Linked DNA regions of Sus scrofa. The protein of the gene in region 1 interacts with the protein of each later gene in a biochemical or structural test. Links are inferred from orthologs where the notes say so. Each region holds a gene or a part of one and is shown on either strand. Other genes may lie near its edges.

Region 1 (4,436 bases):
GGTGTAGGTTGCAGATGCGGCTCAGATCCTGCGTGGCTGTGGCTGTGGCGTGGGCTGGCAGCTATAGCTCCTATTCAAGCCCTAGCCTGGGAACCTCCATATGCCACAGGCATGGCCCTAAAATGACAAACAACGCCTCCCCCCAAAAAAAACCAGTGGCCAAATAACAAAGTAAAATGTCATTTTCCTTTGGTCTCCAGAGTCTTTACCTCATTGAGTGTCACTCTTCCCTGGGGAGGACACACACAGTGTGTTCAGGTTTGCCTGAGGTGACCTGAGAAAGAGGAGCTTGGGGTGGTGGGAAAAAAGCTGAACTTGGGATCCAGGTATACAATTGCATCTTGGTCCAGCCTGATTGATTTTGTGACCTGGGGATAAAGTGATCCTATTTGAGTTTTGGTGTTAATAACTGTAAATGACACATAATAATATTTATCTGTTTAATGCCTGTAACCTTCTAATAAACCTCCCCTCCATCCACCTGCTGGCGGAAACTAGAGGTGTGTGGGCTAAGACATCACTTTCTAAGGGCCTTGTTTGTAGATTATGGGTTAAAAATGCTCTGTTCTGCTCATTGCTCCCCTTGTGTTTCTCAGCTCAAATGTACGTGTTCTAATGGAGGGGACGTGGGATGTCCTTTCTGGCATTGAGTACTGGCTGTGAGCATATTCATCCAGGAGAGCAAAGCCGGGGAGGGACGCATATGGGGGTGCAGTGAGAGCTGGGCTACTCCACCTGGCTAGCAGGTGACTGCAGACAGTGAGGGAGCCATCACTGTACCTGTCACAGCCTTTCCTTTCTCAGGGGATTCTCATTTGTCTTGAATGCTTTGGCTGTGGGCCTGGCTGGAGACCCAGAAGATCACTGACTCCCTTCAAGGTGTCAGGTGCATTGGTGGCCTGGCAGCAGCTCCTTTAAACGGGTCTCTGTCACCCTTTCTCCTTATTTTCTGCATACGTTAGAGGACGGGTATGTGGGATAACTTTTTGTTAAGCTGATGGTAAATGCAAATAAAATGACAATTTTGAGATCAATGACAAAATTTGAGCCCGTTTGCCCTTTAAACTGAGCCTGAGAAACGATCGCCCAAATCTGTGGACGTGTTTTTTCGAAGGACCTTTCGTTTACAGGTGTGTGCCCAGCTTTACAGGTGTGTGCCCTCCCCCCCCGCCCACCGCCCTGCCCCGGAGGCCGTGGGGCCGGTTCGGGCCGGCCGGGCTGGGGAAGGGCCGCGCGGTGCCCGGAGCCAGGCTGACCCCCGGGTCCGGGGCGGGCCTCCCACCGACCCCGCCTTCCGGGTTCTGGGCCGACCCCCCGGACTCACGCTTTGGTCTGTGGCCGGGGTCGGGGCGGAGCCCGCTCCGCCTCTGCGGACCCCGCGCGGCCACCGCGTCCCCCTCTCGGCAGCTCTCGCAGCCTCGGCGGCGGCCGCCCCTCCCCTCCTCCTGGGACCTCTTCCCGGGCCGGCGAAGCCCAGACGCGGGAGGCTGGCGGGAGGCCTCCCCTGCTCCTCCTCCTCCCTCTCCGCCCTCCTCCCTCCGCCCCCTCCCATCCCCCTGCTCCTCCCCCTCCCATCCCCCTGCTCCTCCCCCTCCCATCCCCCTGCTCCGCCCCCTCCCCGTCCCTCCCCTCCTCCTCCCCCGGCCCGGCAGGCGGCGGCGGCGGGAGCGCGCGGTTGGCGAGCAGAGCCCCGAGCGGCCGCGGCGTCTGAGGCCGGCGAGCGGGAGAGCGCAGGGCGTGCGGACAAAGAGGGCGCCGCGCGGAGGTAGGACCCCGCCCCCGACCCTCGGCCCCTAGCCCCGCGCCCCCGGCCCGGGCTGGAGCGGGGCGGCCCGCCCCGGGTCCCTGCGGCGGCGCGCGCCCCGGGTGCCCGGCGGACGGACCTGGCGACGCTGGGCTGCGGGCTTTTCCAAGCCCCCGAAACTTCCCGCGGGCTTGGGCTCCTGTCCGGCCGGGCCCGGGGGCGGAGGCCAGGCGGCGGATGTCCCCACCCGGCCCGGCCCTGCCCTCCCCTCCCTTCCGCTGGCCCCAGCGCGGGGTCTACGGGGGCGGCCCCTGCACCAGCCCCGGGGCGCGTCTACGCCGGTAGTTCCCGGCACCTGGCCCCAGGCTGTCTATGCGGGCGACCACTGCACCATCCCTGGGGCGCGTCTACACGGGTGGTTCCCAGCACCTGGCCCCGGGGTGTCTATCCAGGCGGACACAGCACCAGCCCCAGGGTGTTTATACGGGCGGCCTCTGGCACCTGGCCCCGCGGTGTCTACGAGGCCCGCCTCCAGCACCTGGCCTCGGGCGCGTCTACGCCGGCCGCCCAGCACCTGGCCCGTCGTCCATAAGAGGCCCCCACCCCGGCCCGGCGTCCACGCGGGTCCGCAGTACCTGCGGCGAGCATAGGGGCGGCCTGGCCCCCGCCCAACCGTCAGGAGTGGCCGTTCCTGCTGTCGGCCACCCGGTTCTCCTGGGCATGTCTACATATAACCGGGGGTGGAGAGAGCAGTGCAGGGTCTGGTTTAAAGGCTTTTTCCTGAATGGCCCCATTTTCTTATTATGCTCACGATTCCCAGTACAGCATTCCATTCTCAAATTCTTTGGGTGATAATTTTGCCAGGTTTTCTGAATGGGATTAGCACAGGCTGTTCAGAAATGGTTTCAGAGTTTGTCAACCGCTGCCCGTTTCAAGGCCAGACTTAAGTGCGTCCTTTAGAATTGTCAACCTTCATCTTGTTTTGGTTGGGCAAGATTTAAGTCTTAGGACCAGTGAAGAAACATATGTATTTAATATTGGGATCACTTGCCAAAAGCGAATCACACCAGAGTGGTTTCTTAATCACTAAAGTGGCTTAAATATTGGGCACCTGGTTGGATTTGAAAGGAATTTCAGTTAAAGGCTCACTTTCTCATGCCATTGGAGGACTTTATACAGGCAGCAGATAGCATGTTGAGAACAGAGGAAATTGTTACTGCATTTCATAGATCCTGTTTGCTGTAGGGATGCTCAATGGGGTTTGATAGCCATTTCTGCACAGGAACCTAGATATCTTTACAGGTTAATTTTGAATTGCTTAGAAAGCCTATTCTGTGTTGAACTGCTGACTTTGGAGTACACTTTTGGTTCCTGGCTCTTCTGTGATGATCATAGGACTTTCTGTCTTCTCTTCTTGGGCTGTGACGACTCCAGAGCAGCGTCTGACATGGATGTTACATGAATCGCTCTCAGGGATGCACATGACTGTGCGCGCTGCTGGAGCCGTTTCCTCGTTGAATTAGGTGAAGATGGATGAGTCCGCTCTGCTGGATCTTCTGGAGTGTCCCGTGTGTCTGGAGCGGCTCGATGCTTCCGCCAAGGTCTTGCCCTGCCAGCACACGTTTTGCAAACGCTGTTTGCTGGGCATTGTGGGTTCCCGAAACGAGCTCCGATGCCCTGAGTGCAGGACCCTGGTTGGCTCAGGCGTGGAACAGCTCCCCAGCAACATCCTGCTGGTCAGACTTCTGGACGGCATCAAGCAGAGGCCTTGGAAACCTGGCCCGGCCGGGGGCAGTGGCACCAGCTGCCCAAATGCAGCGAGGGCTCAGGGCAGCGCTGGGGCCAATTGCAGCTCGAAAGACATCCAGGGCTCCCAGGGGGCACAGCAGCCAAGGGCGCAAGCCTGGAGCCCCCCAGTGAGGGTGAGTAGACCGCGACCTGGTGTGGCGGTGGCGGTGCTGATGGTCATCCTTATTCTTTGTTCTTTAACTGCATGTTTTCTGAATCAGCTCATGGCTAAAGAAGTCACACTTACTGGAACAGGTAGGAAATAATGCCTCAGGAATTTTTTTTTTTTCGTTTTGGAATGAGCTTGGATTGAAATTGGATACATTTTCTTGTTTTTAAAATTCTATCGTGGTGGTTGGTTTCTATTACCTGTTAAGTTAAATTTTGGGAGACAATGGCAATTATTCAATGAAATCTAAAACACAGCTGTTTTTTATGCTGATTTTAAAATGAAGATTTGGTGTGGTTTTACCTTTTTGATGGAGATGGGAGAGCCATGATTGTATGTGTGTGTGTATAGCTATGTATACATGTTATAAATATATGGGTGCATAAATCCTAAGGAGGAACTTGAGCTTTAATTTTTACGTTGCTTGGAGCCATTCTGTTGGTTTTATGAATGCACAGCACAGAATTTTCTGGTTGGAGGAATTCTTAACAAATCATGGCCACAGGTAGCAGAGTTTTGTTGCTGTAGCAACAAAATGTCATTGAGAGCTGAGCTAAGACAGCAGAGAATCCAGCTTTTTATGTTGGGTTTATAGGGAGTGAAATGAATTGTTCTCATCAAAAAGCTTTTTCTTGGGTTTTGGGTTTTGGGTTTGGGCTGAAATCATTTTAAGTGAGGCTAATATCTGGACAGTTACCACAACTTCAGTTTCTGGAAGGTAAGGTATTTTGTGTC
Region 2 (4,548 bases), on another chromosome or scaffold:
CAGCAGCTTGGGTTGCTGTAGGTGCGGCCAAACAAAACAAAACCCCAAAAAACTAAGCCTAATCTATTTCCAAAGTCAGTGAGTGTTGGAAGTTCCAGTGTGTCTCAACAGGTTAGGGAGCGGGTGTTGTCATTTCAGTAGCTCTGGTCACTTACTGCAGCCAAAAAAGAAAACCAAAATGATACCAAAAAAAAAAAAAAAAAAAAGAGTTCCCCTCATTGGCTTAACGAACCCAACTAGGATCCATAAGGACTCAGGTTCGATCCCTGGCTTCGATCAGTGGGTTAAGGATACAGCGTTGCTGTGAGCTGCGTTGTAGGTCGCAGACCTGGCTTGGATCCCGTGTTGCTGTGGCTGCCTGAGGACCTCCCTATGACACGGGTGCAGCCTTAAAAAGACAAAAACAAACAAAAAACAACCCCTCCCAAACAAACCCACAACCAAAACCAAACCAATGAGTGTTGTTCGCCCCCAGACTAGTATTTCTCAAACTGCATGACCCATTAGTAGGTCAGAAAATCAGTTCAGCAGGGTCTCAAACAACACTGAAAGAAAAAAAAAAAAAAAAAAAGAAATATCAGAGTGCCTCTTACATAAGGGTAAGTTATGCAGAGTTCCAAGATGGAGACCCAGCATGGATCCAAGGACTAGTTCCAGCACCAGGTCTACCTTTGGAGAAACTACCTCCGGGGAAACTACCTCCACTGAGCAGAACTTGCCTGAGACACTCTCACAGACTTAGGTAGACCCAGGATTCTTCAACTCCCAGCCAGGCCTTCTAGAAGTATACACTAACCAATGCATACTTGCCAAGCTGCGTAGTATTACTGGAACGCAAATTCAGAAGGTAGGAAGCCCCACCCAACCTATGAGAGGGAGCCAGATGTTTTAACAGCTTCCCCGGTATACTAATAAACGGGCCAGCATCTGTGCAAAGTTTTTTTTACAAGGCGATTTTAAGGCCTTGGTAAGCCCAAGTTACCCTGTAAAAAAGTTATATCCCATATTTAATTGCGTACATATGTCGTGCAAATAGGATCTTAATATTCTGGAGTCATAGCATGTCTAATTGATATAAATCATTCTGTTTACATAAAATAGCCCCATAGCCCAGAGACAGGGCTATGATTATTTCCATTTTGCAGATGTGGTTACTGAGGCACAGAAAATGGTCACAGTCACCGGCAAGGAAATACAAAGCTGGGTTTCTGTGACTTCAGAATCTGTGCTCAACCATGAGAGGCTATACAGAAAAGGAATCCCTTTCTAACGCCCGCTCCCCGGCTCGGAACCGGGACCAGAAGCGAGAGCAGAGTAAAAAGAGATCAAAGCCTATGTAATTAAGGACCAGGGGCTGCCGGGAAATATCACAGCTGTAGCCTCCAGGGAAAGCAGGCGTCAAAGTCCTATTGAGCATGCGCAAATTCTAGCTCGCCTTTCCGTCTGGCGCACGCGCGAGGCACATCCCTTAACCACACCGCCTCAAACTTGCCTAAAGTACGCAGGCGCCCGGCTCTGAATCCGCCACAGCCCCTGCCCTGCGCTTGCGTTCTTGCGCTCCCCGAGTCCCTCTCGCCTTCTCTTACGTCAGTTCCTGTTTGTGGCGGGAGAAGGCGGTATTTCCGTCCAAAGGGTGGGAGGGGGCGGTAAGCGGGGGCTGGGGGAGGGGGCGGGGGGGCCGCGCCGCGCGAGCCGTTGGGCCTGGCTCCGCGAAGGCGTTGCTGTTGCCGCTGCCGCCGCCAGGAAATACAGGGAGAGGGATCAAGCGCAGCGTGGCGATGGGCAGGAGTAGAACCCCGCCAGAGGGGCTGGGCGGCCGCCGGTGACAGGTGAGTGCGCCAGCGCGTGTCCCCGAGCGCTCCCTGCCCCGCGTTGGTCGCGTCCCGACCCCCCGGAAAGCCGCGCTGGGCCGAACCACCGGTACTCTCCGGGCGGGAACCGTGGTCCTTAAGCCCCCCCCTTCCGGGACTGAGTGGGGGTGGCTGCGCGGGGGCGGCTGGACTAGCCCTGAGGGGGCGGGGGCGGAGAGCTGTACCACCGAAGCGGCAGGCGGCGCATATCAAAGTGCGGCGACGGAACCACGGAAGGGCTGGGGGCGCAGACCCCAACGTGTCCGGGCTGTGGGTTGAGTCAGTGGGGTTAGCGGGGAGAGCGCGCCCGGCGTGCGAGAGCTAAGCCTGTGAGGGGGCGCGTAGCGTAGGGGGCTGGACCTATTCGGGGCTGTGGGAACAGCTCCTAGAGCGTGTTTAGAGAGGTGGGGGCTTCTGGGGAGGGAGCGCTATCAAGTGTGGCTCGGGGAGCGCCCTCTGGGTTGTACCACTGAGGTCCCGGGGGGAGCCATCCTTAGAACGTAGAGCTGAGCTGTATCAAAGGAGGGTTGTGATGTTAATCTTGAGGGACCACGCGGGGCGGGGGGACCGCGGCAGTACTTGGGGAGCGCTGTGATGCTGGGTGATGAGGAGGGGGTTCTGCCTCCTGTGTTTGTTGGGTGGAGCCTGGGGGTTTACACTGAGCCGGAGAAGGGAGGATCACCCTTTATTGAACTTCTTACTGACTTTGGGGAGAATTGGATGGTCAGTGGGACTGCTGTCTACTCTAGAACCTTTTCATGATATTAAACCTTATTTTAAGGTGTGTGGGACACCTCTGTGGCAAATTCTTCCCGTGGTTTTGGCGGGGAAGGAGGAGGGGAGTTATCTTAGAAGCCACTTAAGTTTTTCTGAGCTTTTGGCTCCATATTAGGGAGGGGAGACGATATCGAGCTTAGATTTGAGGTTTTGTGCCCCTGGGCCTGCTTAAGACTCGAGAGGAAGGAGTTTTTGAGGGACACTGCTCCCCGAGGGTAGGGTGGCTGGGGACATCTTTATCCTTGGGATTCTGGGGACCCCTTGCCTCTCATTTGGGAGCCACTGGGCTCAGCAAGAGCCCTGGGCTTAATTAGGTCGTCTTTGGTCTGCCTTTCAACTTTGTTTACTCTTCCCCTCTCAGAGAAGCATTGCGAGCCTTGCACTAATAGTGGTTGGTGGTGGATGCCAAGGGTCCAGGCACTACCCAGGCCCCTCCATTCTGGCCATAAGGCCACACACACATGTTTGTGTCTCCTTGGTCAGCAGTCCAGCCGCCCATCATGTTTACGCTCCCCACCAGGCGATAACAGTTGGCTTCACCATTAGGCGGCAGTGAGGCTGAGTGCTGTTTTCCCAGCTGTTCCCCTCCGCAGAGGCCAGGCGGACTTGGGCGGGAGTGCCCCTGGCCCACACCAACCCAGAGAGGAAGGCTGCTCTGAAGGACTGGGGGCAGCCAAATCCCCTATGGATCTAGTTTCTCGCTGTGGTTGTTGGGGGGAGCTGAGCAGCTAGGCCCAGTCGTGAGGCCGCTACCCCTGCTCCCCTGGTGAACTTGTGACCTTGGCTTGCTCTGTCACCTTTGCCCTGGGTCTGGAGTTCCCAGAGGGCTGGCCACAGTCCCTGATTGACCCAGCTAGTGTGGGCTGGTGATGCGGTCAAAGGAGGCAGACAGTCCCTCTGGTCCACACCATTGGCTTCCAAGCCAACTGGCTTCCATGGGTTGTTGCTGGAGAGAAGGGTCCCTGAGTCTCTGAGGCCATGGTAGCTCTGTAGAATGTTTCTACTCTAGGGATTTGTTCCTTGTTTCTGCTGCCTTTTAGAGGGTTTGCCTGATGGGGTTAACAGCAGCAGTAAAAGCAGTAATCATGAGATCAATGGCTGATCTTTATTGAGTGCATTCTGTGTTCCACATGCTATTCAGAATGCCTCACATGGATTAACTTGCTGAATGCTAACATCCTAGAGCTTTGGATACTGTTGTCATGATCTCCATTTTAGAAGGGGTGACTGAGGCACAGAATGGCAAATCATTTCCAGAGCTGGTGATTTTTTTTTTTTTTTTTTTTTTTGGCTGCACCTATGGCATGTGGAAGTTCCCGAGCCAGGGATTGAACCAGTGCCACAGCAGTGACCCAAGCAGTGACAGCACTGGATCATTAACCTACTGTGCCACAAGGGAGCTCCTAGAGCTGTGTGAATTTTATTCGACATTTCCCGTATGTCAGGCATATGACAGACCTTTTATACACATGACCTCATTTAAATCTCAAAACACACCCATAGGGTAGGTATGGTTATGCCCACTTTACAGACTCCGTGAGCTAGGTAGAAGTGTGTACCCATTTTGGGGTTCCTGTGGCTCAGTGGTATCCATGAGGACGCGGGTTTGATCCCTGGCCTTGCCCAGTGAGTTACCATGAACTGTGGTGTAGGTCACAGATGTGGCTTGGATCCTGCGTGGCTGTGGCGTAGGCCGGCAGCTACAGCTCCAATTCAACCCCTAGCCTGGGAAATTCCATATATTATGCTGTGGCCTTAAAAATTAAAAAAAAAAGGGGGGGGAATTGGGGTTCAGAGGAGAAGTGGCTTTGTCCTAGGTCTCTCTGATGCTAGAGGGCCAGGCTGGGGTCTGAAGAAATTTTTTGTTCACAACATCCCAATCTGGAATGGGGTCTCTTGCGTTGGACCCTGCCAGCTGCAC

Evidence for each region.
Region 2: the proteins of SH3RF1 (region 1) and AKT2 form a complex in vitro, tested with the Homo sapiens proteins (2 studies listed by BioGRID and IntAct, with this or other methods). The link is inferred for Sus scrofa from reciprocal best matches to the Homo sapiens genes SH3RF1 and AKT2.

Annotation. Positions count from the first base shown.
Region 1 is NC_010456.5:20,418,986-20,423,421, forward strand, and holds the start of SH3RF1 (E3 ubiquitin-protein ligase SH3RF1), read left to right. Parts: upstream 1-1,632; 5' UTR 1,633-1,765; intron 1,766-3,178; 5' UTR 3,179-3,273; coding exon 3,274-3,666; intron 3,667-4,436. UniProt on the Homo sapiens protein: Has E3 ubiquitin-protein ligase activity. In the absence of an external substrate, it can catalyze self-ubiquitination. Stimulates ubiquitination of potassium channel KCNJ1, enhancing it's dynamin-dependent and clathrin-independent endocytosis.
Region 2 is NC_010448.4:48,603,294-48,607,841, reverse strand, and holds the start of AKT2 (RAC-beta serine/threonine-protein kinase), read left to right. Parts: upstream 1-1,652; 5' UTR 1,653-1,829; intron 1,830-4,548. UniProt on the Homo sapiens protein: Serine/threonine kinase closely related to AKT1 and AKT3. All 3 enzymes, AKT1, AKT2 and AKT3, are collectively known as AKT kinase.